Linked DNA regions of Callithrix jacchus. The protein of the gene in region 1 interacts with the protein of each later gene in a pairwise test. Links are inferred from orthologs where the notes say so. Each region holds a gene or a part of one and is shown in the gene's direction. Other genes may lie near its edges. The genes, in order: LMNA, TOR1AIP1 and ZSCAN12.

The links.
Region 2: the proteins of LMNA (region 1) and TOR1AIP1 interact in a two-hybrid assay, tested with the Homo sapiens proteins (2 studies listed by BioGRID). The link is inferred for Callithrix jacchus from reciprocal best matches to the Homo sapiens genes LMNA and TOR1AIP1.
Region 3: the proteins of LMNA (region 1) and ZSCAN12 interact in binary tests that used the Homo sapiens proteins (3 or more experiments, as listed by UniProt). The link is inferred for Callithrix jacchus from reciprocal best matches to the Homo sapiens genes LMNA and ZSCAN12.

Annotation. Positions count from the first base shown.
Region 1 is NC_133519.1:16,526,229-16,536,330, forward strand, and holds the end of LMNA (lamin), read left to right. Parts: intron 1-1,556; coding exon 1,557-1,682; intron 1,683-1,944; coding exon 1,945-2,115; intron 2,116-2,325; coding exon 2,326-2,451; intron 2,452-3,000; coding exon 3,001-3,221; intron 3,222-3,313; coding exon 3,314-3,536; intron 3,537-3,982; coding exon 3,983-4,090; intron 4,091-4,181; coding exon 4,182-4,301; intron 4,302-4,726; coding exon 4,727-4,816; intron 4,817-5,553; coding exon 5,554-5,823; intron 5,824-6,143; coding exon 6,144-6,170; 3' UTR 6,171-7,146; downstream 7,147-10,102.
Region 2 is NC_133519.1:23,463,295-23,473,396, reverse strand, and holds part of TOR1AIP1 (torsin-1A-interacting protein 1), read left to right. Parts: intron 1-2,709; coding exon 2,710-2,766; intron 2,767-6,119; coding exon 6,120-6,161; intron 6,162-6,585; coding exon 6,586-6,654; intron 6,655-10,102. UniProt on the Homo sapiens protein: Required for nuclear membrane integrity. Induces TOR1A and TOR1B ATPase activity and is required for their location on the nuclear membrane. Binds to A- and B-type lamins. Possible role in membrane attachment and assembly of the nuclear lamina.
Region 3 is NC_133505.1:2,713,102-2,723,751, forward strand, and holds the start of ZSCAN12 (zinc finger and SCAN domain-containing protein 12), read left to right. Parts: upstream 1-3,489; 5' UTR 3,490-3,574; intron 3,575-4,682; 5' UTR 4,683-4,749; coding exon 4,750-5,154; intron 5,155-10,650. UniProt on the Homo sapiens protein: May be involved in transcriptional regulation.

The DNA of each region.
Region 1 (10,102 bases):
AAAGAAATTGGCTGGGCATGGTGGTGCACACCTACAGTCCCAGCTACTTGGGAAGCTGAGGCAGGAAAATCATTTGAACCCAGAATCAGAGGTTGCAGTGAGCTGAGATTGTGTCATTGCACTCCAGCCTGGGCAACAAGAATGAAACTCCATCTCAAAAAAAAAAAAAAAAAAAGAATAGCTGGGCACAGTGACTTATGCCTGTAATCCCAGCACTTTGGGAAGCAAAGGCAGGTGGATCACCTGGGGTTAGGAGTTCAAGACCAGCCTGGCGAAACCCCATCTCTACTAAAATTACAAAAATTAGCTGGGTGTGGCGGCAGGCACCTATAATCCCAGCTACTTGGGAGCCTGAGGCAGGAGAATCGCTTGAACCTGGGAGGTAGATGTTGCAGTGAGCCAAGATCGGGTCACTGTACTCCAGCCCAGGTGACAGAGTGAGACTCTGTCTCAAAAAAATAAAATAATAAATAAAAGCTAGGAATCAGAAGCGCCGGGCGCCATGGCTTGTGCCTGTAATCCTAGCACTTTAGGAGGCCCAGGTGGGTGGATCACCTGCAGTCAGGAGTTCAAGACCAGCCTGGCCATCATGTTGAAACCTCATCTTTAAAAAAAAAAAAAAAATTAAATTAAAAAAAAAAAAAAAGGAGGCCGGGCGTGGTGGCTCACGCCTGTAATCCCAGCACTTTGTGAGGCTGAGGCGGGTGGATCACGAGGTCAAGAGATCGAGACCATTCTGGTCAACATGGTGAAACCCCGTCTCTACTAAAAATACAAAAAATTAGCTGGGCATGGTGGCGTGTGCCTGTAATCCCAACTACTCAGGAGGCTGAGGCAGGAGAATTGCCTGAACCCACAAGGCGGAGGTTGCGGTGAGCCGAGATTGCACCATTGCACTCCAGCCTGGGTAACAAGAGTGAAACTCCATCTCAAAAAAAAAAAAAAAAAAAAAAAAAAAAGGAATCAGAAGCAGTTTGTTCCTAATTTCACAGTCTCATCTGTTCACAGCAGGGCCAGGATTAGAGTCAGTGGCCAAGCTTCCATCCCGGGTGCTCGCCCTTCCCAGGCCCTGCCACCACAGTATAACAGGGAAAGACCTGGAGAAGCCAGCAGGTTGACCACCAGACCACCTTTCTCCTGGGTCTGACCTCCTGCCTCCCAGCTCTGCCCTTCCCCCAGCCCTTCCTGGTCAGCCGGTGCTTCCTTGCCGTCTTTTTCTTAGAACATAGACACGTTCTCTCTATGTTGTCCAGGCTGGTCTTGAACTCCTGGCCTCAAGAGATCCTCCTGCCTCAGCCTCCCAAAGTGCTGGGATTATAGGCATGAGCCACCATGCCCGGCTACTTTTTTGTATTGGACATAGCTTTTCTTAGCACAGTACCTCCCGAGAGGGTGTGAGTGAATGCTCTGACCTCTGCAGCCATCCAAGACCCTCCTTCCCTGGACCTGTTTCCACATGTATAAAGGGGTGCATGGGCAGCAGCCCACCTCTCAGCTTCCTTCCAGTCCTTGTGTTCTGTGACCCCTTTACGTGACCTCTGCATGCCTCCTCACAGCTTGAGGCAGCCCTGGGTGAGGCCAAGAAGCAACTTCAGGATGAGATGCTGCGGCGGGTGGATGCTGAGAACAGGCTGCAGACCCTGAAGGAGGAACTGGACTTCCAGAAGAACATCTACAGCGAGGTGGGGACTGTGCTTTGCAGGCCAGAGATGGGGCTGGGTGATGACAGACTCGGGCTGGGGGGACCAGCTGCGTGCAGAGCTCACCTTCCTGAGTCCCTTGCCCTAGAATACAGGGAGTTGGGCATAGCCAAGACCCAGCTCCGAGGTTAAAGTGGGGCTGGCAGTGCCTCATGGGGTACAGCGGGGCAGGGAGCCCGGCCCCTGGGTCTTGGTCTCCCAGGAACTAATCTTGGTTTCTGGGTCCTTGCTCCCACCCTTCCAGGAGCTGCGTGAGACCAAGCGCCGCCATGAGACCCGGCTGGTGGAGATCGACAACGGGAAGCAGCGTGAGTTTGAGAGCCGGCTGGCGGATGCCCTGCAGGAACTGAGGGCCCAGCATGAGGACCAGGTGGAGCAGTACAAGAAGGAGCTGGAGAAGACTTATTCCGCCAAGGTGCTTGCTCTCCCCTGGTTCCCTCACTGCCTCTGCCCGCAGCAGCCTACCCTTGCCCACGCTGGGCTGTTCCGCCGGGGAGATCAGGCAGATGGTGGCAGGGAGCTCAGGGCGGCCCAGGACCCAAGGCTGTGGCAGTGATGCCCAGCTCAGGCCTATCCCTCCACCCTCCTGGTCATCACCGTCCTACCCTTGTGTCCTTCCCTCCAGCTGGACAATGCCCGGCAGTCTGCTGAGAGGAACAGCAATCTGGTGGGGGCCGCCCACGAGGAGCTGCAGCAGTCACGCATCCGCATCGACAGCCTGTCTGCCCAGCTCAGCCAGCTCCAGAAGCAGGTGATACCCCACCTCACCCCTCCCTCCAGGGGCCTGGAGTCTGGGCAGGATGCAGGCTGGAAGCTCAGGGCCGGGTTGTGGGGGGTGTTCCTGAGGAGGACAGGGACAAACATGTCCCCAGGACCACAGAGAAGGGTCGCAAGATGCGGCATCAGGCGGCCTGTGTGCTGCTTCTGCACTCTTACCTTGCCTTCACTTCTCAAGGCTTCGATTTTCCCACTCGGAAATGGAAGCTGTTCTTAATCTCCCTGACTCAGAGTTGCCATAAGACTCTGCAATGTGAGGTGTTAAAAGCATCAGTATGATTCTAGCTGGCTGTGCCATCTGTGATGGGAGAAAAAGGGTCTAGCCTCAGAGTGAGAGATTTCAGTTAGACAAGGGGACAAGGGGAAGGACTTCCCAGTTGCCAGCCAAGACTATGATTAGAGCTTGTGATGGGCTCTGGGGAAGCCTCTGATTGCAGATCCTGGAGAAGGTGGCCATGTCCCTCCTCCTCCATACTTGGGGCCCTTGGGAGCTCACCAACCCCCCCAATCCCCTCCTTCCCAGCTGGCAGCCAAGGAGGCGAAGCTTCGAGACCTAGAGGACTCGCTGGCCCGTGAGCGGGACACCAGCCGGCGGCTGCTGGCAGAGAAGGAGCGGGAGATGGCTGAGATGCGGGCAAGGATGCAGCAGCAGCTGGATGAATACCAGGAGCTGCTGGACATCAAGCTGGCTCTGGACATGGAGATCCATGCCTACCGCAAGCTCCTGGAGGGTGAGGAGGAGAGGTGAGTTGGGGAGGCATCGGGGAGGTGGTGGCAGTGGCCTCTGGCCAGCCACTGGCCCTGACTAGACCCCCACTTGGCCTCCCTCTCCCCAGGCTACGCCTGTCCCCCAGCCCCACCTCGCAGCGCAGCCGCGGCCGTGCTTCCTCCCACTCGTCCCAGACACAGGGTTCAGGCAGCGTCACCAAAAAGCGCAAATTGGAGTCCACCGAGAGCCGCAGCAGCTTCTCGCAGCACGCACGCACTAGTGGGCGCGTGGCCGTGGAGGAGGTGGACGAGGACGGCAAGTTTGTCCGGCTGCGCAACAAGTCCAATGAGGTAGGCTCCTGGTCAGGGTCTCAGGGGGTACAACTGCATCAGTGAGAGAGTGGCAAGACAGAGGGATGACATGCGGAGAGAGGGTCATCCCACCCCTCAGAGGGTGGACCAGAGTGAGCCTGTATATCTCCTCCACACTCTAGTTCCAGGCCTTGCTCCTGGACTCCTTGGCTGTGAGATCTTCAACAGGTTCTTTAACCTTTCAGAGTGTCAGTTTCCTCATCAGTAAAATGGGATCAATAATGATCCCTAAGTCTTTGAGTTGTCAGGAAGATGACAGATAAGGTATCCGTGTGCCTGGCGCTGCATATGTGTCCACAGATCATGGCTATTATCCCCAGGCGGAAGGGCAGGGACAGGGGTGGGTGTAGATGGAAGAAAGCCAAGATACAGCCAGGAGCCTGGGTGAGCCTCCCCCACCTTCCTCTTCCCTATCTTCCTGGCAGGACCAGTCCATGGGCAACTGGCAGATCAAGCGCCAGAATGGAGATGATCCCTTGCTGACTTACCGCTTCCCACCAAAGTTCACCCTGAAGGCTGGGCAGGTGGTGACGGTGAGTGGCAGGGTGCTTGGGACTCTGGGGAGGCCTTGGGTGGCAATGGGAGCGCTAGAGTAAGTGTCCTTTTCTAATCCCTCCTCTCCAGATCTGGGCTGCAGGTGCTGGGGCCACCCATAGCCCCCCTACTGACCTGGTGTGGAAGGCACAGAACACCTGGGGCTGCGGGAACAGCCTGCGCACGGCTCTCATCAACTCCACTGGGGAAGTACGTATGCCGGGGCCGGGCTGCTTCCTAGACGAGGCTCCCCCTAGTGGCCAACATCGGAGCCAGCTGCCCCCAACCCAAGTTTACCAATTCAGGGCCCCTTTCTAGGGCTCTCTGGTGCAGGCCCCAGATGTTCCCAGCCAGTAGGCAAACCAAAAGATGCTTCCCCAACAGCACGCGGGGTGGAAGTCAGACAGTGAGTGAGGATTGCTAAAGGCAGAATCATACTCCTACTCGGAGAACTTGACAGTGTCCCTCTGGGGTAGAAATGAGTTCCTTAGCTCCGTCATCGCAGAGGGCAGAGTAAGCAGCAGGCTGGACAAAGGGCAGGCCACAAGGAAAGCTGCAGGTGGTCACTGGGGTAGACATGCTGCACACCCCTTCCCTGGCCCTGACCCTTGGGCCTGGTCCTGTGTCCCCGCCAGGAGGTGGCCATGCGCAAGCTGGTGCGTTCAGTGACTGTGGTTGAGGACGATGAGGATGAGGATGGAGATGACCTGCTCCATCACCACCACGTGAGTGGCAGCCGCCGCTGAGGCTGAGCCTGTACTGGTACCACCCAGCCAGGCCTGGGGGCAGCCTCTCCCCAGCCTTCCGTGCCAAAAATCTTTTCATTAAAGAATGTTTTGGAACTTCACTCGCTGGCCTGGCCTTTCTTCTCTCTCCTCCCTATACCTTGAACAGGGAACCCAGGTGTCTGGGTGCCCTACTCTGGTAAGGAAGGGAGTGGGAACTTTCTGATGCCATGGAATATTCCGGTGGGAGCAATGGACAAGGGTCTGGATTTGTCTCCTGGGAAGGGGACAGGAGGACAGACGTGGGGCATGCCCGCCCTGCCTCTCTCCCCCACTCCTGTTGCATGCATATCCTCTCTTTTCCCTCATTCTTCCTGTGAGAATGTTCTCTCATTCCTGCCCCCACTCCAATGAATAGTGCGTGCCTCCTGCCCTATAAGCATGCTCCCTTTCCCTCTTCTTTCCCTCTTAAGCTCAGAGTAGCTGGAGCAGAGTCAGAGTCACCGCTCTGGTTCTCTGTCCCCAAGTCTTGCTGAGCCTTCTCCTATTTCTCATCTTCCTTCCCCTCCTCCCAGCCCCTGGCCTCCCAAACCCCTGTTACCCACTGGCTCCTTGGGCACAGAACCCCACCTTCCTGCCTGGTGGCTGGAGCCTGCAAGAGCCCAGAGCCTGGGTGTTGGGCCTGAGTGGTCAGTCCCAGACTCGCCGTCCCGCCTGAGCCTTGTCTCCCTCCCCAGGGCTCCCACTGCAGCAGCTCGGGGGACCCCGCTGAGTACAACCTGCGCTCGCGCACCGTGCTGTGCGGGACCTGCGGGCAGCCTGCCGACAAGGCATCTGCTGGCAGCTCAGGAGCCCAGGTGGGCGGATCCATCTCCTCTGGCTCTTCTGCCTCCAGTGTCACGGTCACTCGCAGCTACCGCAGTGTGGGGGGCAGTGGGGGTGGCAGCTTCGGGGACAACCTGGTCACCCGCTCCTACCTCCTGGGCAACTCCAGACCCCGAACCCAGGTGAGTTGTCTCTGCTTTGTCTCCAAGCCCTGCAGGTGGGTCCCTGGTCATCGAGGGGTAGGATGAGGCGGCCTCGCAGGGGGGAGAGCCTGCCTTCTCTTCCGCAGCCCGGGGGAGTGGGAGCCTCCTCCCCACAGCCTGAGGCCTAGACGGCCCACCCCTGCATCCTGCCCCTTGTCTGAGCCCCAGACTGGAGGGCAGGGGCAGGGCTGGAGCGTGAGGGATAGGGGAGACACTACCTCCCTTCTAGGGACCAGGGGAGGGAGGGTCCAGGTCCAGGCCCTGCTGCTCACACCTCTCTCCTCTCTCTTCTCTCTTAGAGCCCCCAGAACTGCGCCATCATGTAATCTGGGACCTGCCAGGCAGGGGTGGGGGTAGAGGCATCCTGCTTCCTCCTCACCTCATGCCCACCCCCTGCCCTGCACCTCACGGGAGGGGGCTTGAAGCCAAAGAAAAATATGCCTTTGGTTTTTTTCTTCTGTATTTTTTTTTTCTAAGAGAAGATATTTTCTACAGTGGTTTTATACTGAAGGAAAAACACAAGCAAAAAAAAAAAGCATCTATCTCAATCCTAATTTCTCCTCCCTTCCTTTCCCCTGCTTCCAGGAGACTCCACGTCTGCCTTAAAACCAAAGAGGGCTTCCTCTAGAAGCCAAGGGAAAGGGGTGCTTTTGTAGAGGCTAGTTTCTGCTTTCCCGCCCTGGCTGCCGCCCCCACCCCGGGGACCCCGTGACATGGTGCCTGAGAGGCAGGCATGGAGGTTTCTCCGCCAGCCTCCTCTTGATGGCAGGCCCACTTGCCAGGCCAGCCTCCGAGAGGGAGAGAGAGGGAGAAGAAGAGAGAGGATGGCTTGAGCCAGCCCTTGGCCCTTGCCTCCCACGATTCCACTACACCTGGCTGAGCTTCCTCTGCCTGCCCCACCCCCAGTTCCCACCCTGCCCCCAACCCCGGGGTGATTCCATTCTTCCAGGTACCAGCTGCGCTTGCTTTTCTGTATTTTATTTAGACAAGAGATGGGAATGAGGTGGGAGGTAGAAGAAGGGAGAAGAAAGGTGAGTTTGAGCTGCCTTCCCTAGCTTTAGAGCCTAGGTGGGCTCTGTGCAGTCACTGGAGGTTGAAGCCAAGTGGGGTGCTGGGAGGAGGGAGAGGGAGGTCACTGGAAGGGGTGAGAGCCTGCTGGTGCCTGCGCCACAGAGAAGGAAGGCAAGAGACGGGGTAGAGGGGTGTGGCAGTGGTTTTGGCGAACACTAAAGAACCCTTGCCTCCCCATTTCCCATCTGCACCCCTTCTCTCCTCCCCAAATCAATACACTAGTTGTTTCTACCCCGGCTGCTGTGGTGTCTTTGTTGGTGGACGGCGCTTTGTGTACTGAGAAGCAGATTCGCGGGCATGCATGCAGGCGAGGTGCGCGCGCGCGCACGCACACACACACACACACACACGCACACACACACACGGCACCACACACACAGAGCCACACAATCACTGCATCCTCCTGCTCATTGCTGCCCAGCCCTTCGCTGCTCCAGAGAAAACAATTAGAGATCAGAGTACTTTGGGTGCACATCTGGGCACTCGGTGGTAGCTGAGGGAAAGGCTTTGATAGAAGCATCACTACCCGCTGCGTGGCTCTCCCAGTGAAAGTCCTTCAGAGAAGCGGAGCCTGAAGAAGGGCGTCTGCTAACCAACTTCCCTTACCCACCAGCAGTTACTGAGTGCCTTCTCCGTGCTGGGCCCTGAGCGAAGCCTGAATCTAAGACATATGATATAGACCCAGTCTGAGGATGGTGACCTTATCAGGACGTAGGGACAAGGACACCCCGGGGAGGAGGGAACAGAAACTACAGGAGAGGGCAGAGGAGAGGAGCAGTTAATGTCCCTTTGTGCCACGTTGCGCTCAGTTTGGGGGATTGGTAAATGAACAAGACAAGATGGCCAGTGTCCTCAGGGAAAGTACACCCCGGTGGGAGTCAGAAAACAAACTGTCGACAAAGGGAGGTGTCCGGACAAGTAGCCTCAGGGTGCTCGAACCTGGGGGCCAGACTGAGGGAGGGGTCCCAAACAGGAAAAATGAATTCTATAAGCCAGCCTTTCTCTGGCCCTTCCTAGTTTCCAAAGCATTTCTTCAACATCTCATTTGGCCTTCATTCTTTCTTGAGAGGTAGGTATTGGCTTCTAGGCCACTGGAACTCAGGCCTCTCAGCTCGAAGGTGGCACAGTTCCCAAGATTCTGGAAGTTTATTTATGTTCCCTGGGCAGAGCTGAGCCTGCCATCAGGAGTCAGTGAGAAAAGGGCATGTCTGGCTAGGGTCATGGGAAAACGTGAGAAAGCAGAATGACTGAGAGCAGAAGGGCCCCTGGGGTCATGCTGGACACTCCTGATTACACCATGGGCTGAGACCCCACCGTGCCTTTGGGGAAGGGAGGTTCAGAGGAGGAAGGTAGGCCGGGCGCAGTGGCTCAGGCCTGTAATCCCAGCACTTTGGGAGGCCAAGGTGGGTGGATCACAAGGTCAGGAGCTGGAGACCATCCTGGCTAACAGGATGAAATCCCATCTCTACTAAAAATATAAAAAATTAGCTGGGCGTAGTGGCATGCACCTATAGTCCCGGCTACTCAGAAGGCAGGAGAATCATTTGAACCCAGGAGGCAGAGGTTGCAGTGAGCCAAGATCACGCCACTGCACTCCACTTGGGCGACAGAGGAAGACTCCGTGTCAAAAAAAAAAAAAAAAAAAAAAAGGAAGATTTGAGGAAGGGGTCCCTGTTTGGGTTGGGCAGTTTCAAAGAAGGAAACCCTTCCTCTCCTAGGCCTCAGCAAAGACCCTGAGGCCCCACAGATATGGGGTCTTAGATGTCAGCGAAGGAGTCGCGTGTCTCAAAGCGAAGACGCCCTCCTGCAGTTCCTGAGCTGGGGGCCTGGGGGCGCCAGAGCCCCATCACGGCGGGCGAGGCGCCTGCACATCCTGGGTGGGGGTCCTTCGCTGCTCGCTGAACCCTGGTGGGCTGACTGCGCAGGCACTGTGGGCTGGGGAACGCTGGGGGCAGTAGGCGACGTTCCCAGCTCTTGAGGAAGAGGGCTGAGGGCACAGGGCCGCACGCAAACACTGCCCCACAATCTGGCAGCACGGCGGGGGCGGCAGCCGGGGACTCAGCAGTTAAGGCGTCCGCACACGTGGTCACCTCACATGATGCTCACAGCACAAGTCAGCACCCAGCAGCCACATTTCATTATGTTTAAAAAAAAAAAAAAAATGTTGTTAAAATGTAATACATGCTTGGCCTTGGGCGGTGGCGCGCAAGCCGGTAGTCCCAGCGACTCCTGGCCTGAGGCGGGAGGATTGTTTGGGCCCAGGAGTTCGAGGACAGCCTGGGCAACAACAACAGCAAAATACATATCATATAGTAAATTTCAAAACACAGGTAAGGGCCACGCGCGGTGGCTCACGCCTCTAATCCCAGCACTTTGGGAGGCTGAGACCGGCAGATCACCTGAGGTCAGGAGTTGGAGACCAGCCTGTCCAAGTGGCAAAGCCCCATCTCTACTAAAAATATAAAAATTAGGCTGGTGTGGTCATGCATGCCTGTAATCCCAGCTATTCGGGAGGCTGAGGCAGGAGGACTGCTTGAATTGGGTAGCAGAGGTTGCAGTGAGCCAAGCACGCGACACACTGCAGCCTGGGTGACAGAGAGAGACTCCCTCTCAAAAAAAAAAAAAAAAAAAAAAAGTAAATATATGTTGCCCAGGGCATTAAAAAAATTTGTTTTAGGCCGGGTGTGGTGGCTCAAGCCTGTAATCCCAGCACTTTGGGAAGACGAGGCGGGCGGATCACGAGGTCAAGAGATCGAGACCATCCTGGCCAACATGGTGAAACCCCGTCTCTACTAAAAATACAACAATTAGCTGGGTGTGGTGTTGCGCACCTGTAGTCCCAGCTGCTCAGAAGGCTGAGGCAGGAGAATTGCTTGAAGCCGGGAGGCAGAGGTTGCACTGAGCCGTGATTGTGCCACTGCACTCCAGCCTGGTGGCTGGTGACAGAGTGAGACTCTGTCTCAAAAAAAAAAAAAAAAAAAAATTTAATAAATTTTTTTAAATAAAATAATTTTTTAAAATCCCTTTCCTTCTTTTTCGTTTGTGTGTGTGTGTGTGTGTGTGTGTGTGTGTGTGTGTGTGTTTTTGAGACTCTTGCTCTGTCACCTAGGCTAGAGTGCAGTGTCTCGATCTTGGCTCACTGAAGCCTCCTCTGCCCAGGTTCAAGCAATTCTCCTGCCTCAGCCGC
Region 2 (10,102 bases), about 6.9 Mb from region 1:
CCTCAGCCCTCAGCCTCCTGAGTAGCTGGGATAACAGGTATGCACCACCACGCCTGGCTGATTTGTGTATTTTTAGTGGAGACAGGGTTTCACCATGTTGGCCAGGCTGGTCTCAAGCTCCTGACCTCAGGTGATCTGCTTTCCTCTACCTCCCAAAGTGCTGGGGAGGTGTGAGCCACCGTGACCTAGAAATGTTTTTATTTTTTTGACAGTAAAGGAAGAAATAAATCTCCCTTTATTTTCAGATAACACGGTGTTAAATTAAATACATTAAATACAAAATCAATATACAAAAAATGGTTTTTCTGTATGCCAGCAATAAAAAACATTTAAATATGTTTATACCATTTCCTGAAATATGAAACACATAGGTATAAATCTAACAGAATATATGCAAGACCTGTAGGCTGAAAACTATGAAACACTCACAAAAGAAAACATTATTTTCTTTTCTAAATAAATGGAGTGACAAATGTGCATCCAGGGTTTGGAAATTCAGTATTGTTCTCAATTCTCCCTAAAATGGTCTACAAATTCAATGCAATCCCAATCAAATCTTAGCAGGAATTTTTTTTTTTTTTTAAGATGGAGTTTAGCTGTTGTTACCCAGACTGAGTGCAATGGCACGATCTCGGCTCACTGCAACCTCCACCTTCTGGGTTCAGGCAATTCTCCTGCCTCAGCCTCCTGAGTAGCTGGGACTACAGCCACGTGCCACTATGCCCAGCTAATTTTTTCTATTTTTAGTAGAGATGGGGTTTCACCTTGTTGACCAGGATGGTCTCGATCTCTTGACCTCGTGATCCACCCACCTTGGCCTCCCAAAGTGCTGGGATTATAGGCATGAGCCACCGCGCCCGGCCTCTTAGCAGGAATTTTTGCAGATATTGACAGGGTATGTCTAAAATTTATTGGGAAAGGCAAAAGAAATAGAATAACCAAAAAATTTTTGAAAAATAAAGTTGGAGGGAGTGATCACTACCTGATTTTAATGCTGATTATAAAGCTACAGTAACCAAGAGAGTGTGCTATTCATGGCAAGATAGACATGTAGATCTATAGAAAATAAAGAGACTCCAGGAATAGATACAGACAAAGATAGTCAATTGATTTTCGACAAAAGTGCAAAGGCAGTTCAACTAAGAAAAATATAATGTTTTCAATAAATGGCGATTAAACCCTTTAGAAGACAAAAACAAAACTCTCCTGACCCTTCCACACCTCACAGCTTAAAATATTAAAATGTAGTATAGGAATAAATGTGAAATTATAGCACTTCTAGAAAAATCGGAAATCTCTTTTTTTTTTGAGACCGAGTTTTGCTCTTGTTACCCAGGCTGGAGTGCAATGGTGCAATCTCAGCTCACCGCAACCTCCGCCTCCTGGGTTTAGGCAATTCTCCTGCCTCAGCCTGAGTTAGAAAAAAAATTCTTAGATATATCATGAAAATACAATCAGCAATAGAAGAAAAGCAAACTGAATTTTATCAAAATCAAAAACTGCTCTGTGAAAGACACAGCTAATAAAATGAAATGAGAAGACTCAGATTGGGAGAAAATATTTGCAAATCATTTATCCTACAAGAAAAACTTCTTTTCTATTTTTTTTTATTGTACTTTAGGTTCTGGGGTACATGTGCAAATCATGCAGGATTGTTGCATAGGTACATATATGGCAATGTGGTTTGTTGCCTCCATCCCCGCATCATCTATATCTGGTATTTCTGCCCATGTTATCTCTCCCCAACCCCCACCCCCGCTGTCCCTCCCCTGGCCCCCCCAATAGACCCCAGTGTGTAATGCTCTCCTCCCTGTGTCCGTGTGTTCTCATTGTTCAATACCCGCCTATGAGTAAGAACATGCGGTGTTTGATTTTCTGTTCTTGTGTCAGTTTGCTGAGAATGATGGTTTCCAGATTCATCCATGTCCCTACAAAGGACAAGAAATCGTCATTTTTTATGGCTGCATAGTATTCCATGGTATACATGTGCCACATTTTCCTTGTCCGGTCTATCGTCAGTGGGTATGTGGGTTGGTTCCAGGTCTTTGCTGTTGTAAACAGTGCTGCAGTGAACATCCATGTGCATGTGTCTTTATAATAGAATGATTTATAATCCTTTGGATATATACCCAGTAATGGGGTTGCTGGGTCAAATGGAATTTCTGTTTCTAGGTCCTTGAGGAAGTGCCACACTGTTTTCCACAATAGTTTAACCAATTTACACTCCCACCAACAGTGTAAAAGTGTTCCTGTTTCTCCACATCCTCTCCAGCATCTGTTGTCTCCAGATTTTTTGATGATTGCCTTTCTAAGTGGCGTGAGATGGTATCTCAATGTGGTTTTGATTTGCATTTCTCTAATGACCAGTGAAGATGAGCATTTTTTCATGTGTTTGTTGGCCTCACGTATGTCTTCTTTTCCAATCTACCCATCTGACCAAGGGCTAATATCCAGAATCTACGAAGAACTAAAACAGATTTACAAGCAAAAAACAAACAAACAAACCCATCCAAAAGTAGGCGAAGGATATGAACAGACATTTTTCAACAGAAACTTTTTTTAAATAAATTAGACATCCAAGTTTTTAATCACCTGGGATTTATCTGAATATTTTTGCTCTTTTTATTAAATTCTCACTGTTGTCTTATAAAATGTGCATTTTAAAAGTTGAACATCATTTATAGTGTACTGTTGTTTTTTATTTTTTAGATCAAACCACCAGATCATCTAGTAAATATACAGAATCATTTTGGCAGTCATCACAAAGTAAGTAAAGCCATGTTTACAGGTCTCCCTGTGGGCTTGGTCAAATGCTATTCCTATTTTTGAAGATCCTCTTTTGAAATTTAATGTAAATATTGAAAAAGAGGAATAATGAATGCTAAAAAAAAAAACAACTCATCCGATATCTCTCTACCTCTTGACCTCACTTATTGAGTTGTTATTCTCTATACCCAAACCTGAATTTGAACTTAAAAAACAAACTAAAAACTACTGCTTCCCATGATTTGTTGAATGTTTTTGCTCGCGATATAAATGGGTTGTTTTTATTTTAACTGACTAATATAGTAGTTTGAGTCTATTTATATGGACTTACCCTAATAAGGACATAAAATTTTATATTAGTACAATTTCAACTCTGTTGTAAAAGTTTGGAAGGATGAGCCAGGCATGGTGGCTAATGCCTGTAAACTCCTGAGGTCAGGAGTTCAAAACCAGCCTGGCCAACATGGTGAAACCCCATCTCTACTAAAAATACAAAAATTAATTGGGCATGGTGGTGCATGCCTATAATTCCAGCTACTTGGGAGGCTGAGGCAGGAGAATCACTTGAACCCAGAGGCAGAGGTTGCAGTGAGCTGATACTGCACCAGTGCCCTCCAGCCTGGGCAACAGAGTGAGACTCTGTCTCAAAAGAAAAGAAAACGTTTTGAAGGATGAACGAATAAGTGATGGGTACATAAATATTCATTTCAGTCTTACAACTGAAAATTTTTGTGATCAAATGTTGAGAAAATATAACAAAAAAAGATTGGAAAGTAATAGACCAAAATGCTAGTAATGATTTGCTTAAGAATCATTGGTGACATTTTTTTTTAACTTTATTTTTTTCTTTTCTTTTTTTTTTTTTTTTTTTTTGGGACACGTTCTCACTCTGTTGCCCAGGCAAGTATAGTGGTGCGATTATGGCTCACTGTAACCTCGAACTCCTGGGTTCAAGGGATCCTCCTGCCTCAACTTTCTGAGTAGCTTAAACTACAGGCATGTAAGTTTTAAATTTTTTGTAGAGATGGGAGTTTTACTGTGTTGCTCAAGCTTCTCTCAAACCCTTGGGCGCACCCATTTCTCCCACATCGGCCTTCCAAAATGCTGGGATTGCACGTGTGAACCATTGCGCCCAGCACCTTTATTATTTTGGTACTACTATTGTTTTCTTTTGACATTTTTAAATCAAGTCTCCCAAAATCTGAGTTAATTATTATTTTTTTTTGAAGTATGAGTTATGAAATCTGGTTTAAAACTGAGCTAATTATTAATCAACCAAAAATATCTTTGTAAAATCTTAAAGAACTATTTTTTCTTCCACATTACTTTCTTTTCTTAAGAAAAAGCCTTTGGAAATCCGTTTTATAATCATTGTATTTATAGAATTCAATTTTATATATTTATTTAATTTTAATTTTTAGAAGGTTTTGGATTTGTTACTATAAAATGAATTAGCTGCTGGAAAAAAATGAGTTGTGGAAATTACTCTTCTAGTTATTTTATGTATTTTCCCTATTTTACCCCAAATCTTTGATTTCTGGAGACTCTTAAATGCATCTGCCTGTATAAAGGATGTTATACCCGTGCAGTGAAATACTATTAGGACAGGCGTGGTGGCTCACATCTGTAATCCCAGTGCTCTGGGAGGCTGAGGCAGGTGGACCAGGAGTTCAAGACCAACTTAGCTAACATGGTGAAACCCTGTCTCTGCTAAAAATACAAAACTTAACCAGGCATGGTAGTAGGCCTGTAATCCCAGCTACTCGGGAGGCTGAGGCAGGAAAATCACTTGAACCCAGGAGGCAACAGCTGCAGTAAGCAGAGATCTTGCCACTGCACTCCAGCCTGGATGAAAGAGCAAGACTTCATCTCAAAAAGAAAGAAATAGTGTTTAGAAATGAGAAATGAGTTAGTTCATTGTATTCTAATGAAAAGGTGATCAAGATATATTTCATTGACTCTAAGATGCCATTGGTTTTATGTATCAATGAGAAAGAAAAACCATCTAATTAAACCATGCCATACCATAGATTAAAAGATACAGCCGTAGTCAAAGGGCACTCTGAAAAAACTATGTCTTTGAATTTGATGAAAGAAAATATTAAGTATGTATCCAGTTTTTTGAAAGTATTTTTTTTAGTATAGACTGAAAACAAAGCTGAGAGAATATATGTCTACCTCATTTACCATAGTATTTCTGTGTTCAATGTTTTGCACATAGTAGATACGTAACAGATAGATATTCACAAATTTTTAAATTATGCATTTCTAGAATGACACTTTTTTTTAAACAGGTAGCATATGTTTGTATTGAGAAAAAGTTGAAAGTAAATAAATGTAAATTGATACATGTATGTATCATCAAAGAGTAATTCGTTTCCTCAGGGCAGATTTGGAAATTTCCCTTGTTATAATTGTAATGTCCTTTTCTAGTCATCCCATTGTGTCCTTTTACAGTTATCCTCAAATAACCACCTCAAAACCTGAAGCAGCATCTTTTACTTCATAGCTACTTTGCAATGTCCATAAATCTGCATAGATAGTACATACCATTTCTCTATGGTATGGTATGTGGTATGTGATATGGACTGCCTGGATTTGTATCTCAGCCCCACTACTTTTAGATATATAATTTGGGGAAAATTACCAATTTTGATTTTCCCTTATTTATAAATAGGAGCAATAATAGTATCTACCACATAAGAATTAAACAAAATTGGCTGGGCGCCTAAAATCCCAGCAGTTTGGGAGGCTGAGGCAGGCAGATCATTTGAGGTTAGGAGTTCGAGACCAGCCTGGTCAACACAATGAAACCCTGTCACCACTAAAAATACAAAAAAATTAATCAGACGTGGTTGCGCATGCCTGTAATCCCAGCTCCTCGGGAGGCTAAGGCAAGAGAATCTCTTGAACCTGGGAAGCAGAGGTTGCAGTGAGCTGAGATCGTACCACTGCACTCTAGCCTGAATGACAGAGTCAGACCCTGTCTCAAAAAAGAAAAAAAAGAAGCAAAATTATGGTCAATAGCTGATACACATAGACTATATGTAGTCATTATTTTGATGGTATGATCCTAAAGCTGAGTCCTTGTTGTTGTCCAATTCCTAAACATTTTGAAGTTTAGAAATTTGAGGGAAAGAAACACAAACACATGCTTTGTGTATATATATATATTCTATATGTATGCTTTAAACATAAATACTTTATTTACTTATATGCTTGGAATTTAGAGAATGTTTTTTGTTTGTTGTTTGTTTTTAGTATCCACAGTAAATAAACAAAATGTCTATGTAACATCTTTTTTGTTGTTATTGTCAAGTATTCTATGACCTTATCCCTGTTTTCTGTTTCAGGTCAAAACTTCACAGCTCATGATAAGCAATCTTCAGTGCTAAGTAAGTAATTGGTTTTCTGTTCTTTTTCAATCACTTCTAACCTTGCCTTATTCTCTCCACAAAAGTTGTAATAAGATTTTAAGTCATTTTACCCCTTCTTACCCTTTTTAATCCACCTCAGATTGGTACTGCCTGTAATAATTATTCTGTGATGTGGAAATGTGTTCAGGGCTATTTTACCACAAGTAATTTATATTAGGTAATAGTATATTTATTTGCTACCTGCTTTGCTATATAGGAAGTGGTTCATCCTCACTGGGACAGGATCATTTGAAATTGTCTTTTATTTATAAAACTCTTGCTTTTTTTGTTTTCTTCCCCTGCTTTATTTTGTGTTTCTGATAGATTAATTTTATAACACTGGAATATGGTATAAACTTTCAAAGTATGGGAAATTATCTTTTGACATATGTATTTGCTTCAGGCTCAGGATATCAAAAAACTCCCCAGGAATGGGCTCCACATACTGCAAGAATAAGGACTAGGATGCAAAGTAAGTAAATAAATCCCTGTTATTGAATTAATCCTAAGTGTATTTGCTAGATTTTGCTTGACAAAAACGTTGAGTTCTTCAGATAAACGTTTAGGTTGTTTGTGATTTCACTAACATAATAAAGTACAGCTATGATTACTAGTTGAGTAATTTCCATTTGCTTGGTCTGGCAGCACATGGGCTGGGTGTAGAATGTAAATGGTGGCTTGGGAAAACCAGACATCGATGGGTCTTAACAAGCTGTCAGTTCTAGCAGCAATACAGTCTGTATACAATAATGAAATTCTACTCTTTTGACAATACCCTGTTTTTTGCTTTTAGCAGGCTTTGCATAAATAACCACTTGGAACAGCTTTGTATACTCATAATTTTACATAATAAAGGCTGAAATGCACAAGTTATATTTTCATGTTTAGAGATTTTTTTTTCTGGTTGTTTTGTTTTGTTTTTGAGATGGAGTCTCCCTCTGTTGACTAGGTTGGAGTGCGGTGGCACGATCTCAACTCACTGCAGCCTTCCCCTCCCACATTCAAGCAATTCTTGTGCCTCAGCCTCCTGAGCAGCTGGGACTTGCAGGCGTGCACCACCACACCCAGATAATTTTTGTATTTTTGGTAGAGATGGGGTTTCGCCATGCTAGCCAGGCTGATCTTGAACTCCCTGACTTCAAGTGATCTGCCCGCTTCAGCCTCCCAAGGTATTGGGATTACAGGCATGAGCCACCACACCTAACCCCATGTTTAGGTTTTGAATGGATTAAATATCACAGAATTTAAGGAATACTATAAATTCATGTGATAAAACCATCTACTTTGAACTCAGTTTCTGTAATTTCTGTAGATAGGTGTCCACATTTAAATCTTGACCTATTTTTTTAAAGTCTATGCATATTCTCTGCCTTAAGTGACCTTTAACCTCTGTCCCTTTACTCATCTAGCCACAATAGGTCTTGAGGTCATCAGGTATTCTTACTTTTATTTAGATAATATAAAAATCCATCTCTTGCTCTTAGGATGATTACCTCTGTTATTGGACCAGATGACTTCTGTGGCTCTGCTTTTCCATCAGTAAAGTAGGAGTGGTCACAGTTCATTTTTTCTCAGCAGTGAAGTTTTTTTTTTTTGTGAGACAGAGTTTTGCTTTTTTTGCCCAGGCTGGAGTGCAGTGGTGCTATCTCAACTCACTGCAACCTCCGCCTCCTGGGTTCAAGCAATTCTCCTGCCTCTCGAGTAGCTGGGATTATAGGCATGTGCCACCACACCCGGCTAATTTTGTGTTTTTAGTAGAGATGGGTTTTCTCCATGTTGGTCAAAGTGATCTCAAACTCCCAACCTCAGGTGATCTTCCTGCCTCAGCCTCCCAGAGTGCTAGGATTACAGGTGTGAGCCACCGTGCCCAGCAAGAAGTGAAGTTTTTAGCCCACATATAAGTGAGTTTTTTGGCAGCCTAGAACTGAAATAACCTTATCCCTTGTCTTATTGTTAGTTGTCATTTCTTATTGCTTCGAGTGTGTGCCTGCTTTTAGAAGACCATTTCCTCTTATAATTTGCTCTTCCTGACCTATTATAGTTAGGAAACCAAATATTAATTATTCAGCCTATTAGAATTATGTTTATAACAAGAATCAAACATTTAAATTTGAAGACCCAAGAGATACTGTTGGATGTAAAAATGCATGACTTTTAGTATATATAATGTAAAAAGCTCAGAGACTTTTTACGTCATTTCTAAGTTCTTATCTATATATTCTGAGGAGTTAATATCAGATAAATGGCTTCCAGATACGAGAAATTAGTACATACTTACCAAAAAATGTTTTCATAATGTTTTTCTTCTAATAAGATACTGCAGTACAGAAGGAAAACTAATTATATTGAACATGTAATTGAAGTGCAGAAATTGATCTCTTTAGTTGTTAACTTGATAGCTAATTTTTAGTATTTTATCTGTTTGCATTTCTACTTTGTCTTAACTTACTATATTTATTATAGCTTACAGAATTATACATTGATTGCTAGCCACCTACCATATATAGATACCACATTGAGCTTTCAGAGTTATGTAACAGTAACATACCAGAATTGTACATGTAATAGGATCTTTTAGACTTTAAACCACATGAGGACTTTAAGATAGAACAATGAGCAAGAAGAAAATATTTTCAATGGAGGTGGAAGACTACAGTGATTTTCACACAAACTTATATAATAGATTCCTCTTTATGACTATTAAAAAATGTTTTTATATATTTCTTTATATATTTCTGCCTGCTTTCATGGGGGAATAAAAGATCTGAGTGTTTTTAGATCTGAGTGTTCAAGAACCTTGGACTATAGATTCTACCCCATGGAACATTATCACCTGATGTTGGCACCAGTTTCCTGGATAGACAGGTCCTAGTTCAGGTTACTGCCTGCATCCAAACCTTTTAGGAAAGATGGAACCACTGTCTTTACTTTTTCCTATTTGCCTGGTGATCAAACAACGATTATAGAGAAGGATATATGTACGTGGAGAGGTCAGAGCATTAATATAAATGTTTTGGAACCTGTCTGAGAAATTTAGGTAGAGAAAGGAAGACAGTTTGGAATTAAAGCTCTTGGGCTCCAGTCCTAGTTCTTCCACTTACTACTTGAGTAATCTTGGTAAAATCACCTTTGTGATCCTCAATTTTCTTGCCTTTAGAGACAATAGTGCCTATAACTAGATTATTGTAATGAGCTTACATGTGTAAACACCGTTTTTTAAAGTCTAAAATCTCATAATTATCAGGACTTATTTATCGTTAACAAGGTATTCTGTAGAATCAATAGCAACTATGGAAACTATGGAGGATTTGTGCCCTCTACTCTTGATGGTTATAGAGTGATTGTCACCATACTCTAGATTAGAAAAGCTTGAGTTTTTCTTTTCTTTTCTTTTTTTTGGAGACAGAGTCTTGCTGTGTCACCCAGGCTGGAGTGCAGTGGCGCTATCTTGGCTCATTACAACCTTCACCTCCTGGGTTCAAGCAATTCTCGTGCCTCAGCCTCCCAAGTTGCTGGGATTACTGGCACTTACCTCCACACCCGGCTAATTAGACAGGGTTTCACCATGTTGGCCAGGTGGTCTCAAACTCCTAACCTCAGGTGATCTGCCTGCCTCTGCCTCCCAAAGTGCTGGAATTACAGGTGTGAGCCTCCACACCTGGACAGATTTTTTCTTTTAAAAAGATGTTTCTTAGAATTGTTAGCATCTGTAATAATGTTAATAAGAAGGATAGCAGTGACCCTTTAGAAAATGTCCTGCCTTGGCAGTATATACCCTGCTGTATATGTGTTTGTGTTATATGAATTACCTAAATATTATATGTGGTACATAATTATTATTTAGTTGTTCTTCATTATTAACATCATAGAATTGCACTTCACAGCATTTTTGTGTATATTATCTCATTTGATCTTTGCAA
Region 3 (10,650 bases), on another chromosome or scaffold:
TCAGAGGTGTAGACAGGAAGCAAAACATTCCACTGTGTCCATGTGTACCCTGAGAGTTCTGCCTCTAGATCTATTTACCTGTGTTCTCACTATATGCTTCACTGTGTCCATGTGAACCCTGAGAGTTCTGCCTCTAGATCTATTTACCTGTGTTCTCACTATATGCTTCACTGTGCCCATGTGAACCCTGAGAGTTCTGCCTCTAGATCTATTTACCTGTGTTCTCACTATATGCTTCACTGTGCCCATGTGAACCCTGAGAGTTCTGCCTTTAGATACATTTACCTGTGTTCTCACTATAAGCTTCACTGTGTCCATGTGAACCCTGAGAGTTCTGCCTCTAGATCTATTTACCTGTGTTCTCACTATATGCTTCACTGTGTCCATGTGAACCCTGAGAGTTCTGCCTCTAGATCTAGTAACCTGTGTTCTCACTATGTGCTTCACTGTGCCCATGTGAACCCTGAGAGTTCTGCCTTTAGATACATTTACCTGTGTTCTCACTCTATGCTTTCTCTCAAGTCTCTGTGTTCTCAACTATATACTTTCTGAAGCTCACAGAATTCACATCATAAAACTTTGTGTTGCTTTCGGCTTCCAATTTCAAATCTGTAAATGAAATACTTCCTGCAGTCCTTTTCTCTTATTCCTTGAGTTCTGGATCTCAACATCTGCTTTTTTTCCCTTTTGATTTTAAGGGCAGTTAGAAGGCTTGCCAATATATCACAAGAAACTTTCTCCTTTTTAAATGTTAGAGTTATTTGGTTAGTAAAATGGCCAAAAAGCGTCAGTAATAACATTAGGCAAAAATTGTTTAAAATAAAGGTATTCTGGAGATCCATTTTTATCTGCTCTTTGTCTCTATATCCCTGTATTTCTCCAGAGTCAAAAGATGGAGAATGGTTTTACTCAGAGTTCTCTCTGTCTTAAGATCTCTTTGTGCTTAGATGCTCTTTTCTTGTGGCTACAGTGCACCTATGACAAAAAATTGACTGTTTTACCTATGTCCCTGGGAACTGCGGCAAGTCAGTCATCCTTGGTGCAAGCTGACTTTTTAAGTGAGATTTCCATATCAGCTTCTTGCAGTAAGTCATGCCAAGTGGAACTCGGAAAACACTGAGTTGTAAAAATCTTTCTAGATGCCTAGAAAAGAACCCAAAAGTGAGCTTGAGGTTCAGTTCCAGGTTGAATTCAAGTTGTCCAATAATTTCTCTGTGTCTGTTGTTTTCTGAGATGTTGTATGGCTTCACATAAGATTTGAGCCCTGGCAACGTATGAGGAGGGATCTCTCTCCCTTCTCCCCAGATGCCCTGAAAGAAGAGTCTACAAAAGGGCACTCCAGAAATCTGTCCTAGGCTGTCTTTTAGCACCACACACTTCGTGAGCTATCTTAATCATTTTAACAATTACTGAAAGGTAGAAGGCTCCAAAATATGGATCTCAAGCTAACTCTTTTCTCATGACTCCTAGACCCACAAATCCCTAAACCAATCCATTAACAAATAGCAACATCGACAGTGTGATGCTTTCCAGGATTTCAAGCTTAACGTGACCAAGCTGAGCTCATACATTTCTTCTCAACATGCTACCTGTCATTTAGTGTCCCTGGTCTTGGTGGAGGGACCACCATCCTCTGATGATGCCAGGCTTTTTTTGGTTCTCTTAACCCCCACATAGTCAATGATGAAGCCCTGATCCATTTATCCTGCTGAGTATTTCTCAATTTCATTCCCTCATATTTCGCATTTTAAAAGTCAGGTCTCCCCTGATCCCATTTAATTTTGTGTGTACATCACTTCATATTTTTGTCAAAGTATCTTTGAGATGGATTTCTAGAAGTGATCGCAGGAACAAAGGGTAAACTTATATACATAATTTTGCTGTATAGTATTATTTTTCCCACCTATGGGTCACACCGTTTTGCATTCCCACTGGAATATGTTAAGAGTTTCCCCTTCCTCATGAGTAGAATGTACTGTCAAACTTTTGGACCATTGCCAATCTAATGGCCAATGGTACCTCACTCAGCATAGTTTTTAATTTGTATGTTCATATTTTGCGTGAAGTTGAACATTTTTTACAGATGTTTGGGGGCTGCTAGCATTTTTATTCTGTCAACTATCTTCTGGTCATTTTCTCTATATGTTGCAAACCTTTTTCTTTACTTGTGGTGTTTTTTTGGACAAACAATACATTTTAATTTCATGTAGTCAGATTTGTTACTTGTAAGGCTTTTGGATTCTGAGTCATATTATTAGATGTTTCCCCTTCCCAGTGTTAGAACTATTATTCATGTTTTCTTCTAATACATGTATAGGTGGATTTTTTACATTTAGATCTCAGATCCATTTAGAATTTATGTCGATTGCAATGTGTGGTGGAAAATAGAAATCCAGTTTAGCTTTGCCAAATGGTTGTCATCCCAGTACAACTTCTAAGTGATTCATTTTCCCATTTATATGTGATGTCACCTTCATCACTCACTGAATATCCTTATATACCTGCATCTATTTCTGGTATATTCTTTGTCTATTAATTAACTAAAATAATATGTGTATGTTCCAGTATCTGAAAAGGCTGTCCCTCACCATTGTTCTTTTTCATGGGTTTCCTGTCTATTCTTACTTATGTCCCCACTTGAACTTCATAATCAAGTTATCTAATTACAGAACAATATTGGTTGATATTTTTGTTGGAATACTATAGTTGCATACATATTTAGGGAGGACTGACCTCTTTGAGTCTTTCCAAGAACAGCATATTGCTTTCTGTTTGTTTAATATACAGTTGGCCATTTAGGAGTGTTTTAAAGCTTCCCCCGGAGAAGTTTTGCTCATTTCTTGTTTATTCCTATTTTCACTTTTTTTGTTGCTATTGTAAATATGGAATTCTCTTCCATTCTATCTCGTAACTCGTTATCATTGACTATTCACATATATGAAGGGCGTTGATTTTAGTGTGTTAATTTTATATCTTGCTAATTTACTAAATTATTCTTTTTATATAGCTTTTCCATTGAACTGGGCTTTCTGGTGTATAATGTATCATAAGTGCATAAAAAAGAGCATCAAGAGAATCGTGGGTGGCGAAATCGCCAGCAGAAACCAGTAGGCTGGCCCTCTGGATGTGTGTGTGGCAGGAGTCCCTTCGGCACCACCAAGCGTGGTGTCGGGAAGCACCTCCGGACCCAAAGCGAATGGAGACGCAAGGGGTTTCCCAGTCTTCAGTTCTTTGGCTGGGAACTAGCAACCCTGCAAATCAGTCCCCCCGTCGGGTCGGGGGAAGTGTGGACAATGGCTGGGTAAAGAAAAGGAGGAAGATAAACCCATACCTCTTACCCGCGGGCCTGAGAGCGCTCAGCTTCGCTCTAGCGAGGGCGCGCGGAAACACTACTGAGGCGAAAGCCCCTCCGGCCCCCTTCCGGGAGCGACTGCGGAAGTGCGCCCCCCCCCCCCCCGCGGCCGCTTCCGGCCTTTGTGGATCACTTTTGATGGGTTCCGCTTCCGGAAAGGGTTGGAGGCCTCCGCCCTTCGCTCGCTAGGAGGGAGTCCTGTGCTGGCGCCGGCGGCCGCAGGTGAGCAGTGTTGTCCTTTGTGCGGGGCGAGCAGGTGGGCGGGAGATTGCCGTATTCCCGCCGGTGGGCCCCTCAGGCTCTGGCTGGTGTAGAGGGCACCCCAGTCCTCCCAATCCCGGGCGGATCCGCGGGAAGCTCTCCCTCCCCAAAGTGCGTTGGGACCCTTTGGGGATGAGGGGTCGGTTCCCAGTGTCTGCGGCAATTCCCGGCTGTAAGGCTCATACCTTCCAGGTTTGCCTCGGGCTGTGTATCCTTGGGGTCAGCGCTTGCCGACGTTCCTGGACAGTGGCGAGTCGCCCACGCTGGCCTGCGTCCTAGGGACCCTTTCCTGGGCCTGCCTCACTTCAGATTATAATCACAGACCGTGAGGGTGGAGGGATGCCTTAAAGAGTAACCTCTCGCTTTATAAATGAAGAATGAGCAGAAAGATTAAGTCCCTGAGGAAATACATTTGCATTACTTTGTTGCTTTTATGATTTCACGGTTTCCAGCAGACATCTGGACATTTAAAAGATAAAAGTAACTAATCAAGGGTGTCCCAACCTTTCATCATTATTATTTACTTATTCTGAATGTTAGTTTTATTCTATTTGTCTTTCATTTAGGACCAAATGAGAATAAGTTTACTAACAAGTCTTACTCTTCTTAAAGTCCTGAAACAACTCGGCGCCTTTCCTCAGTCTTTCTCTTTAAATTGGTCAAATTTTAAGTCTTTTCTATCCTGAAACAACTCGGCGCCTTTCCTCAGTCTTTCTCTTTAAATTGGTCAAATTTTAAGTCTTTTCTATCCTGAAACAACTCGGTGCCTTTCCTCAGTCTTTCTCTTTAAATTGGTCAAGTCTTAAGTCTTTTCTATCCTGAAACAACTCGACACCTTTCCTCAGTCTTTCTCTTTAAATTGGTCAAATCTTAAGTCTTTTCTATCCTGAAACAACTCGGCACCTTTCCTCAGTCTTTCTCTTTAAATTGGTCAAATCTTAAGTCTTTTCTATCATAGTATTTTTCTGAGTATTGTACATTAATCTGGAGGCCGGCTTTCCAAGTTCTCAGCACTTGCAGTTCTCCTTTATGGTGTAGCTTGTATTAATAATAATGTCTTACTCCTCAGGATGGTCCAGGAAGAAATTTTCCAGGGAGATCTTACTTGAAACACCAATAGTTCTTGCACAGCTGAAATGGCATCCACTTGGGCTATCCAGGCCCACATGGACCAGGATGAACCTTTGGAAGTAAAGATAGAGGAGGAGGAGAAGTTTACCACCAGACGGGACTGGAACCTGCATAAAAACAGCAGCCATAGCAGAGAGGTCTTCCGTCAGTACTTCAGACAGTTGTGCTACCAGGAGACATCTGGTCCCCGTGAGGCTCTGAGCCGACTCCGAGAGCTTTGCCGTCAGTGGCTGAGGCCAGAGACCCACACCAAAGAACAGATCCTGGAGCTGCTGGTGCTGGAGCAGTTCCTGACCATCCTACCTGAGGAGCTCCAGGCCTGGGTGCAGGGGCAGCATCCAGAGAGTGGGGAGGACGTGGTGACTGTGCTGGAGGATTTAGAGAGAGAGCTGGATGAGCCCGGAGACAGGGTGAGAAAGAAACGATGTGACTTCTGCTTGAGAAAAGATAAATTGTGGATTTCTGTGCCAGAGTGAAGAAGAGCCATTTTTTCCACAAAGCATGTTCTTGACAGTTTGATGCACCAGAAAGGGGCATGAGTTTCATGGAAAATTGGCTAATGCGCTAAACTTATTTGTAACTTTTCTGTGGAAGGATTTTATATTTCTTTACTAAGTTACAAAATTCTGTTTGATAAACATACTGCTCATCTTAGAAGACTTCTAAGGCCAGGTATCAGATGAAAGCAGCAGGATGGGAAGCAGCCTCTTGAAAGGGCATCCCTCTATTGCACAATACAAATAATTAAGAATTAAGGTTTTGCAGATATATGCATTGCTCTGACTCTATTACAAGATGTTAAAATGGAGAAATTAAGTATTTCAGGGATTGAGATGTGGGAGTACAATGGAAAGTTAGTGAGGAGAGCAGGGCAGGGATCCATGCTGCTTTGAGTAGTAGAAAGCCCAGTTAGATTAGAAAGGGGAATTCTGAGTAGAAGAGTTGAGATAGCGTCCAGGACCTTGAATCTCAACGATTGAGATTTTATTCTGTAGGACAGACCCCCCCCCCAACCTTTTCTCCTTGAGTCTAAATGAGCTTCACTAATTGTAATATGTAAAAGAGAATCAAATTATGCAGAACTTTTTTGTTTTCTTTTTAACAATAAAATAAGACAGTGTTTCTCAACCAGTGCCGATTTTGTGCCCCGGAGGGCATTTGGCAATGTCTTGGGACATTTTTGGTTGTTACAACTCAGGGAGGTGCTGCTAGCATCTAGTGGGTAGAGAGGGCAAGGCTGGTGCTAAACATCTTACAACACAAAGGACAGCCTCAGACAAACAATTATCTGAACCAACATGTCAGTAGAGGCAACACTAGGAAACCCTGTTATAAAGAGTTGGAAACTTAGTGAAACGATAAAACAGAAGTATCATCTAGCACTGTGATAGAAAAGACAGTAAAGAGGGTAGGCACTAGGAAACCCTGTTATAAAGAGTTTGAAACTTGGTGAAATGATAAAACAGAAGTATCATCTCGCACTGTGATACAAAAGACAATAAAGAGGGTAGGAACATGGCAAAAAGATCTTAGTTTGAAACAGGATCATGAGTCTGGGCGCGGTGGCTCATGCCTATAATCCTCACACTTGGGGAGGCCAAGGCGAGTGGATTACCTGAAGTCACAAGTTGAAGACCACCCTAAAAATACAAAAGTAAGCCAGGCGTGGTGGCACGTGCCTGTAATCCCAGCTACTTGGGAGGCTGAGGCAGGAGAATCACTTGAACCCAGGAGGCAGAGGTTGCAATGAGCCAAGACTGTGCCATTGTACTCCAGCCTGGGCAACAAAGTGAGACTCTGTCTCAAAACAAAAACAAAGAAAGAAATAGGATCATGAAAGTGTGATTACCAAGGATGAGGCTTATCTTAGGTAAGAATTGTTTGGAAGTGATGACAGATCTATTAAGTAAAGAAGGAAGAACCAATGGAGAAATCTTTACAGAGCAATCTAAGCTAAACACTAGGGATTTCAAGCTTGAAAGACTAGTATAACGGCTTCTGGGGGCGCTACAGGGAAAACAGTTGGGTGGGTGGAGGGATAACATGGGGAGAAATGCCAGGTATAGGTGATGAGGGGATGGAGGCAACAAAACACCTTGCCATGTATGTACCTGTGCAACAATCCTGCATGATCAGCACGTGTACCCCAGAATCTGAAGTACAACAATAATAATAATAAATAAAATAAAAAAGCGCTAGTATAATGGAGACATTCCTAACAAAGACTGTAGGCAATTACTAAGTACATACTTACTGAATATCTGTTTGGACTAGGTCCTATTTAGGGCACCGTGAATGTAACAGCGAACAAAGCATGGGAGGTTGCAGCTGTCATGTAGATTCTACTCTACTGAGGAGAGACAGATAGTAAAGTAAAAATCGACAAACCAGCCTGGGCAATATAGTGAGACCCCCATCTCTATAAAAATACAAAAATTAGCCAAGCACTGTGGCAGGTGTCTGTAGTCCTAGCTACTTGGGAGGCTAAGGTGGAAGGATTGCTTGAGCCTAGGAAATTGAGGCTGCAGTGAACTGAGATCATGCCACTGCACTCCAGCCTGGGTGACACAGTGAGACCCTATCTCCAAAAAAAAATACAAGATATAAGTGACAGTCAAATGTGCTCAAACAACAATGATAAAAGCAGAGAAAAGGAATGGTGAAAGAAATGGGGACAGCCCTGTTTTTGGTAGTCTTGTCAGAGAAGGCTTTTCAGATAGGTGACATTTACAGGAGAAATCTGAATGGAAAGAGCAAGCCACACAGCTATCAAGGATGACAGCATTCAGGCAGAGGGTCAATTTTTTTTTTTTAGATGAAGTCTTGCTCTGTCACCAGGCTGGAGTGCAGTGGCACAATCTCAGCTCACTGCAGCCAAGTTCAGATGATTCTCCTGCCTCAGCCTCCCCAGTAGCTGGGACTACAGGTGCACACCACCATACCCAGCTAATTTTTTTGAGACAGTGTTTCACTATGTTGGTGAATAGAGACGGGGTTTCACCATGTTGGCCAGGATGGTAAGATTTCTTGACCTCATGATCTGCCTGCCTCAGCCTCCCGAAGTGTTGTGATTATCAGTGTGAGCCACCATGCCCTGCCAAGGCAGAGGATTTTAAAGTGAAAATGTACTTGTCATGGTAGAGATGTAGTATTTGTCAAACAGGAGATGAAATAAAATGGTTCTAAGATTGATTATATTGTGTCAGAACTTGTAGGCCATTGTAAGAATTTTGAATTCTGAGATGGACAGTCATTGGAGAGTTTTTAAATAGAAGAGAGATATAATCTGACTTGAATTTTTAAATGATCACTCTGGCTACTATGTGAAAGTTCCACAGTGGGGCTGGGGTAGGCACAGGGGTCAAAGGCAGAAGCACGAAACCATTTCAGGAGCAATGATCATAAGCAATATTCCAGGCAAGAGATACTGGTGACTTGGTCTAGAGTAGTAGCAGTGGAAGTGGTAAAATGTGATTGGATTCTGGATTTATTTTGAAGGAAGAGCTTGAGAGGATTCATTTTTATATAAAATGTGGGATATGAGAGAAAGTAAAGGATTATGCCCATTTTTTTGGTCTGAACATCAGATAGAATGGATTTGTCATTCATAGAGATGGTAAAGACTGGGAGAGAAGTGGGTTTGGGATGGAGGGACAGGAATCAAGTTAGGGTTTGGGCCGGGCGCGGTGGCTGATGCATGTAATCCCAGCACTTGGGAGGCCGATGCGGATGGATCACCTGAGGTCAGGAGTTCAAGACCAGCTGGGCCAACATGGTGAAAGCTTGTCTCTATTAAAAATACAAAAATTAGCTGGGTGTGGTGCCAGATGCCTATAATCCCAGCTACTCCGGAGGCTGAGGCAGGAGAATCCGTTAAACCTAGGAGGCGGAGGTTGCTGTGAGCCAAGATCTCACCACTGCACTCCAGCCTGAGCAACAGAGTGAGACTCTGCCTCAGAAAAAAAGTTAGCGTTTGCACATGTTAATTTTGAGATTCCTATTAGAATTCAAGCAGAAAAGGTGAGAAAACAACTGGATATAATGAACTGGAATTCAGTGGCAGGGTCTGTGCTAGAAATACAGAATTGGGACTTTTCGGAATATACATAGTATTTAAAGCCATGAGATAGGATGAGGTCATGAAAGAAGTAACCACCAGCAGAAACAGAGCAGCTTGGGAGGCACAGAGAGAACCAGAGCAGCCAGGGAGGCGCAGAGAGAAGCAGAGCAGCCAGGGAGGCGCAGAGAGAAGCAGAGCAGCCAGGGAGGCGCAGAGAGAAGCAGAGCAGCCAGGGAGGCGCAGAGAGAAGCAGAGCAGCCAGGGAGGCGCAGAGAGAAGCAGAGCAGCCAGGGAGGCGCAGAGAGAAGCAGAGCAGCCAGGGAGGCGCAGAGAGAAGCAGAGCAGCCAGGGAGGCGCAGAGAGAAGCAGAGCAGCCAGGGAGGCGCAGAGAGAAGCAGAGCAGCCAGGGAGGCGCAGAGAGAAGCAGAGCAGCCAGGGAGGCGCAGAGAGAAGCAGAGCAGCCAGGGAGGCGCAGAGAGAAGCAGAGCAGCCAGGGAGGCGCAGAGAGAAGCAGAGCAGCCAGGGAGGCGCAGAGAGAAGCAGAGAAGCCAGGGAGGCGCAGAGAGAACCATAGAAAGAACGGGATGCTCGGGAGGCACAGAGAGAACCAGAGAAAGAACGGGATTCTTCGGTGCTGGCAAAGTCAGTTGGTTTTAAATGTGTCGAATTTGTATTGCCAATCAGCTCATTCCCTGAAAGCATTGCAGGAGGCATCTAATGGAGTTTACAGCTTGATTTCTGAGGCCTGACCAGAGATCCAGGAATAGAAGGCACAGCTCACTGTACTGGCATTTCCCCCCCCCACTTCCTTTTTGCAAAATGTGAGATATCAAAACATCGTTTTCTGTACATCTGAGATAGCATTCTGCTGATTCTGGCTTTTATTCTGAAAACTGAGACTACAAAATGAAACTGTATCAGGGAAATAGAGGCAGTGTATATGGTGATTTTTTATTTATAAAGTTTAACCTTTGAAGATAATAAGGAAGTAATTTGAGAGTCCGTTGTATGACAAGCAAGGTGCTTTATACAAATGACATTTACTATCTCGGAGACAGTAAGTAATGGGCCCAAGGTCACAGAGCCACTAAAGAAAGAGAGAGAGTAAGTAATGGGCCCAGGGTCACAGAGCCACTAAAGAAAGAGAGAGTAAGTAATGGGCCCAAGGTCACAGAGCCACTGAACTAAGAGAGAGAGTAAGTAACGGGCCCAGGGTCAGAGAGCCACTAAAGAAAGAGAGAGAGTAAGTAATCCATGTGATTCCAAATCCCTGCTTTTTACAAGACCATGCTGGGGAAACCTGTTACTTTTAAATGCAAGAGGAAATAGGCACATGGAAGCATGGGAGCCACCCAGTGGCTGAAATTGCTGAATAAATGAGTTAGTTCACTGAGGGAGCAAGGGTCAGGGGAAGCCAAAAGTGATGGGACTAAAGGCAAAGTGGAGATGTAAGCATTGAAAAAGAGGAGACATCGTCCTCTAAAACAGAAGAAATGGAGAAGAGTATGAGGGTGGAATGGGGAAAATGAAGAGGAGATGATTTCTGAGCTGATTGTGATCTTGGATACATACAATATAAGATAATCTTCCTGGAGAGAAGTGGAACGGGTACCTCAGAAGGGCAGAGACTATTGGGAATAGCTTCTGGAATGAATATGGAGGAGAGTTCACCCCTTTCCTTCTTTTCCCTGTCTTTCTTCTCCCACCCTCTTTCTCCTAATCATTTGTTCCCTTGTACTTTTTTTTTTTTTTTTTGAGATAGGGTCTCTTTGTCACCCAGGCTGGAGTGCAGTGCTGTAATTGTAGTTCACTGTAATGTTGAACTCCTGGACTCAAGCAATCCTCC